2 linked regions of the Styela clava genome follow. Each later gene encodes a partner of the first gene's protein in a complex. Links are inferred from orthologs where the notes say so. Each region holds a gene or a part of one and is shown on either strand. Other genes may lie near its edges.

Region 1 (3,247 bases):
CTAATCATTTTATAGCCAATTTATTTTATACCCCTTTTTGAGTCCTAAGGGCCGCTGTCATATCCAAAGCTGTTGGTGTTGTTTCACTTCTATCATTGGGAGCGTTGCGATATTACATCTTTATATTTACCGCGCCTGCATCTATCTGTGCTTTGTCACTGACATACGGATCTTGAGTAATAAACGAATTAGCTGTGATTTTACTGGAATTGCGGTATTTACTGTTTTAATTTTAATTATATCTATTTATTCACATGTTTATGTTCTTTAAAATAAGGATCATAATTGCCTGGAGTGAAAAAAATGAATATTTAGCGGCAACGAGCAGGGGACGGGGAAAATTTAAGACTAGACTGCTGGATGAAAAAAAATCAACTCTAGACTCGTTGTTGAAAAAAATTTAGACTACGTCACCCAGACTTAAAAAAAACTTTGGCGTATACGAACCTTCCATTCAATCTGTAGTCTGTTCTAAAATTTCATTCATAAGATTTCGGGTCACTGAATTCTGTGAATTTCATGATAATAAAATAGTGGATGGAATGCCATTTACTATTTATTCATGATTAATATATCTTCAATATTGAAGTGGAGTATTGAAAAAAATCAACATTAGAAAAATCGGTGCTCCCGAAGTATGCGAACCTAGATGGCGGACATCGTAACGTAACATGGGTAACAGGTTAGGGTTAAGCGATAATTTTTTTTACAATTTTTCTTATTTTAGTCCTATTATCAGTTCGAAGACTAGCCAAGAGCCTCCCGTAGTATTTATACCTAATATTATGGCCTAACCATAACCTAGTACACATATTACATTCCGATGTCCGCCATCTTGGTTCGCATACTTCGGGAGCCCCGAAAAATCAGCATTTGCCACGAATATAAGTATCAATTTATCATTACATATGCCTTTGACATAAAATGACTTCATATAATCATGACATGAACAAATTACAAAATTTGAGAGCAGCAATAAAAGAGTATCAACATCTTTTGCATGCTACAGGCGGTAAATGAAGGGGCACTGCTTTGAATAAATAAATTTGGGTCATTGAATCAAAACATTTCTGAAGTATGAGTAAGCAAGTCACACAATGATAATCTCAGTTTGGGTTTCAAAAAAGCATTAGTTCATCGCAAAACAATGTGAACTTTATTTCAGCACTTCACTATTGCTAATGCAAATTACTGCAACTCGACTCATGGTATATATCGGCAGTGCAGTAACTAGCTTTAAAAAGTTATTGAAACTCTGATAACCTGTGGCTAAATGTTCAGCGGCTTGCACTCAACACTGATACAATATAGATATAATGATTATACAAGTGGAACAAATTTTTAGTCATTGTTCGGACATAACCATGTGATGTATTGTATGCCCATACAGTTCATACACATAATTTTTTTAATTTCTGGAATATGCATTATAGTGAATTGTTGTCCAAGTTCCACAGCAACATTATTGGCCAGGTGCAGACAAACTTTTGTCCATGAAGCGTCGCTTGGAGTAACAGATCCACCATTTATTTAGCGAGTTAGTGCTCGGATCATAAACTTTATCCAGGAGCCTTTCTCCAGCTTCATGTCGAATCTGCTGGAAGTATGCCTTCATCTGATCCGCATCTTGTCGAGATTGAGGCTTTGCATACATTGCGTTAAGAGGAAATCCTGGGTCCCCTGGGATATCGAAAGGAGACACAGCAAGACTGTACATCTCTTTCCTGCCTTGTTCTTTGGTAGTGGTTCTCTGCAATTTCTTCAAACATTGTTGTAGATACAGGGTAACATAGATCAAAGTGCGATCTGCATCTCCTTTGATGTCATAATTACGAAAAAATATGTTTGCACGATAGAAATACAGCGCTTCATCAATAACATCTTGTTCAGAATTTGGAGGGGCTCTAGGAGCAGGTCCTCGAAACTTTGTGGTACATCGCAATGGCAGCAAACCTACATTAGCAATTGACTTGGCAGGTATTTGGTTAGAGTGATAAGCTGGCATAATGATATTTCCTGTTGAAAAGTATTAGGAAAGTGTTAATTTATTAGTATGAATATTGTAATGAAAAAAGTCAAGAGAAATTAAACTCTTATTATTGAACTCTGGCTCAAATGACTTTTAGATCCACCAACTACATTTCATGAAATACTTTGTGAGCAATACAATTAATATTATTTAAGGCAAAGAGGTGTGAGGGCAAAAACATAGGGTGAACAGAAATCACACTTTGTTATGAACTTGCAGTTTGTCACTTAAACTACGCCAGCGATTCCCATACTTTTTGTTTGTGGGGTGGAGCCAAATTATTAAGAAAAAAACTCACGGCGCAATTACATGAAAAAAATTGCTGCCTTTAAATAAAACTCAATTTTGTGATCGTTAATGTTTACCTTATGCCTTATAAAGTTTGTAAACATGTAGGCCTAATATATAAAGCCAAAAGGACAACTCCTTTTTCTCATCTTTGACTGATTTTCCCTTGAAATACTAAAAAATCGTTCATTTTCGCTAAACTTGGTTCAGAAAATAAAAATCACTCATGTTCGCTAAAATCGGTTCAGAAAATAACTAAACTGCAGCTCGCGAAAAATTGCAGCAAGTAGTATTCACCTTTATTGTTACGTAACAACAGAGGCAGACACTACTACGTAAGGAAAGTAAACAACATAGAAAGGTGAATTCATATTCCAGTATACACAGCATTCAAACTAAGAAACAATGAAAATACAATATGTAAAATATTCAATCCTATATTAGTTATGTTTAACACAATTCTATTAATTTTCGCGGACAGGCAGAGCACTTAGCAAATCGGCGCACCTATTGGGAGTCGCTGGTCTTCAGGATTTCAACCTGTGAACACAGGGTCATCATCACAAAGTCACAGATAAGATGGTGAGCGTATTCCTAACGCTTATTACAGTGAGCAACTATGGGTCGAAATATTTACTGTGAAATATTAAAATAACTGAACACCTTTACCATTCTTTGAGGTAGTGAGGCTCTGGTGAGAAGTCTGTGTTCATGATTCCTGAATACTTGAACGACTACCCTAGAATAGAAATCGTCATATCCTTGCTTGCATACACAACCAGACAGCTCTATTTGACTATAGGATGTGGAATGCGATTTATTGCTCCACACTTACACCATGACAGTCTTCTGTTTACTTTTGCTGTTTCATAAAGCAGAAGCAATTTGTTTAGAGATTGCTGCATTAACAGCCTGAAGTTGCTTGGAATA
Region 2 (3,762 bases), on another chromosome or scaffold:
TGTATGACAATAGATTCACAAATTTTGTTTACGATGTTATTCTTTTTTTCTAATATTATTGCCAGAATGGATTAGCTCTGCCTGTTATTATAATTCCACTGCCAAGTTTGGAATCAGTAAATAATATCTCAATGTCAGCTTCTGCTTATTTATTGCTGATTTGATAGCCACCACCGCCTAGAAATGATTGACTTGAAGATTTATATGGCATTCATTCTCAAGGTTGAAAATTTTTTTCAAATATTAAATTTTTTTGACTGAAATTTTATACTTATTGTCTGCTTGTTTTGCCATAGCTTTGTTTCTGTTTGCCAGGCAATAGTTTCTTTTGATACCTATATCTGAACTAATTTCATTAGTTGAATCATTACATTTGCATCACATGTTTTATGTTGTCAGTGTGTTGTCTGCCTTTGTAGTTTTATATCATGGAACAAATAGAGTATGATAGTCGACAATAGTATATTAGTTTTGTGTTACTTTAATTTTTTCAATATTTCGTTTAAATATTTTTGTTTGGAAACTGTACTTAGATTTGACAAACTTTGTGTAGAACCATATCAAATTCTTTATTAGTAATAAAAATATGGTATATTGACATGACAGATTTAACAGGGAAATATTCTCACTGATAAAATTGTAAGTCTATGGTGGGGATGTCACACTATTTTTATACCCACACTGTTATTGTAGATCATAAATTACGCTAAAATTAAGGTTTCTTTTCTGTCTTTGAACTTAATTTTCCATTTCTGTCTGTTTTTTGATATGAGTCTATATTTCAAGCATTCAAAGAAGTCTGATAATAACAGTTTCGTTGTGTTTTTTGGTGATTTTTTAGTCACAATTTTGTATGTTCATACCCTTGTACAATGTATTGCATTTATTTTTCAATTTGATTCCTAAAATATTACAACATGCTCGTCTTCGTTCAATTGTTCTAGTAAACCTCTACGTTTCATTACAGATTGTTGACAATCTAATATTAGAATATTGTTACAAATTTAGTGCAGTTTTCTATTATTAATAAGAAAAAAAAAGATGTCGACAACTCTCAAACCATACCTGAATGCTGTAAAGTCTACTTTAACAGCTGCTACGTGTCTCCAGAATTTCAATTCTCAAGTCGTGGAAAGGCATAATAAACCAGAAGTCGAAGTTCGTAGCAGTAAAGAATTGTTGATGACGCCGTTGGTCATTGCGAGGAACGAAAAAGAAAAAGTCATGATAGAAGCTTCAATCAATTCAATCCGCGTCAGCATCGCCATAAAACAAGCTGACGAATTGGAACAAATTCTTTGTAGCAAATTCACAAGGTTTATGATGATGAGAGCTGAAAGTTTCGATGTTCTACGTAGAAAACCAGTCGCTGGGTACGACATTAGTTTCTTGATTACTAATTTTCACACAGAGAAAATGTACAAGCATAAATTGGTTGATTTCGTCATTCACTTTATGGAAGAAATTGACAAAGAAATAAGCGAAATGAAATTAGCTGTCAACGCACGTGCCAGAATCTGTGCTGAAGAATTTTTAAAGAAGTTTTGAATATAAGATGCTGTAGAACTAGAATTTCAAGTACTCTTTGCATCTACAATGAATGAACTGGAAAATGCCTTGAAACGAAGGTTTTTTCTCTATGAAAGATGTTTTAAATTTATCATTATATTTATCCAGTATAATAATTATGATATAGTCCATAATATCCAAAGTGTTTAGTCAATATCAATTTTACGAGAATGATATTTTTTCTCCGATTTCAATGATTTGAATCACTGATTAAATTTGATGAAGCCAAATAAAGGTAAAACTTGATAACAAAAAATTTCAGTTTTCTCTTTAAATAAAATTCATATGCTTGGTATATTAATGCTTGATTCTCCCATGTCTAACTATATATATCAACGATCTTAAGAGTGGATAGGTTATTTTTATTACTATATGCAGAATATCTAATTGATGCTTATTGTTATAATTGAAATAACCAGCTGCTTATTTTATTATCTTGTCTGGTTGGCTCCCATGTTCTATATCCCCGCATATGAGCCGACCCCACAAAAACCGCTTTAAAATAGTGAATTTATAAAAATTCTCATATAAGCTGACCCTACAAATCGTAACACACCGTATGCACGTATAACAGTCAATGATGTTCAATTCGAATTTAATAATATTCAAATATCGGTATTCGCTACCTTCTAGTATCGTTTTGTGTTTATATTAATATTGAATATCGCACACACATTCTAGCGCCCCTGTCCACGTTTTAATTAAAAACATTTTTCGATTATTATATTTTATGTTTTATCGTAATCGAAGACAGCCCATTGTGACGCGACTAAATTACTGCCGACATGAAAGGATTTATATCAGCGCCGACTTGCAGTACTTATAACACGTCGTGGACGTTTGATTGAAAGTATTTTACAATTATTATAGAATATTTAACATATCTGGGCGACCACAGCAAATTGTGTGATAAATAATTGTTTCCATTGACAGTGACCGAGAATAACGGGAAGTTTTTGCATTTCCAGCCTATTAAATAGCTTCTAAATGTTATTTAGTATCTATCGCGGTTTTATTGTTAGCCTGGTGTTGCTAATGATAATATCGTTCAGTTTAAGTTTGCGGTATTTATTTATGAAATGTCATTTAGTTCAAGTGCGATCAGAGTTATGCGCTTATAAGCCGACACCTTAGTTTGACAACTTTTTTTTTAGTTTTGAACTCGGCTTATATGCGAGGATATATGGTAATTTGTTCTCATCTGACCAGGCCACCTCATTGAATTTTTCACAACGGTAGCCCTGACCTCTAATGCCAGCATTCATCCATATATACTGCACAGAGTTTTGGCGAAATGAATTGATTGTGGAAACAAAAACTTTAAATATATTTTCCAATTGAGATTCTGACTGACTTAATTTTTAGATTTCAGCTCTATTATGTTCCCCCTTTGTTTGTTTCAAGGCACTGCCTTAGGATCCTGTTGTTAAATATTAGGACCAAATATAGTTATGTTAACTTTTGTGGCCAGTATTTTCAGGGTAGGAATCGTTACCATAGTAACATATTATGCTATCATTTTTGGATGTTACATAACTGATATCAAACTTAATGTACTAGAAGGTATATTTTTGGAATTTTCAATATAGATAGGTAATCATTCGAATAATTTCTATTTGTTGTAAAAATTGACATAAAATTGGATTTTACAGAAAAATTACAAAATTTTAGGAAATCGTCTTTTTTTTTATGTCATTGATGGATCTTTGAAAAACATCTTTCTCAGATGCCATTAACTTTAAGCAAGCTGATGTAATCAATTTTAGTAAATGTTTCGAATTTATCGCAATTTTTTCAGGTACTAAAACCCCTGTTTTCCATGTTGATTAGGGAAACATCACCCATGTAACATCTATGACTGCATTACAATAGTTACATTCAAAATCTTGTTTTGCTGTTATATTAAATTCAATTAGTTGGAAAAAAGTTGGGAAATTTATTATTGGATATCAAATTCATATTCTACTATTAAATGGTAATAATGATATTATTCCATGATATACTGTATTCATTAATTATGTGATAAACAATCGTTCTTGCTCTTATTTCTTTTTTCATTGAAACTAGCTGATTAATTCATTGATGATTGAACAATGTCGTTTTTCATTGTAAATTTTTTGTGGCAACTTTAAAATTGTGCATTTTCAAAATTTATCTGTAATGCAAATTATCAACAAAGCAAATTGTTTAATG

Evidence for each region. The genes of interacting proteins can lie anywhere in the genome.
Region 2: actin-related protein 2/3 complex subunit 3-like (region 1) and actin-related protein 2/3 complex subunit 4 share a complex: the UniProt entries of both Caenorhabditis elegans proteins name them as parts of the arp2/3 complex. The link is inferred for Styela clava from reciprocal best matches to the Caenorhabditis elegans genes arx-5 and arx-6.

Annotation. Positions count from the first base shown.
Region 1 is NC_135257.1:4,072,162-4,075,408, reverse strand, and holds actin-related protein 2/3 complex subunit 3-like, read right to left. Parts: upstream 2,037-3,247; 5' UTR 2,006-2,036; coding exon 1,463-2,005; 3' UTR 539-1,462; downstream 1-538. UniProt on the Caenorhabditis elegans protein: Functions as a component of the Arp2/3 complex which is involved in regulation of actin polymerization and together with an activating nucleation-promoting factor (NPF) mediates the formation of branched actin networks.
Region 2 is NC_135255.1:6,168,732-6,172,493, reverse strand, and holds the start of actin-related protein 2/3 complex subunit 4, read left to right. Parts: upstream 1-905; 5' UTR 906-1,041; coding exon 1,042-1,548; 3' UTR 1,549-3,762. UniProt on the Caenorhabditis elegans protein: Functions as actin-binding component of the Arp2/3 complex which is involved in regulation of actin polymerization and together with an activating nucleation-promoting factor (NPF) mediates the formation of branched actin networks.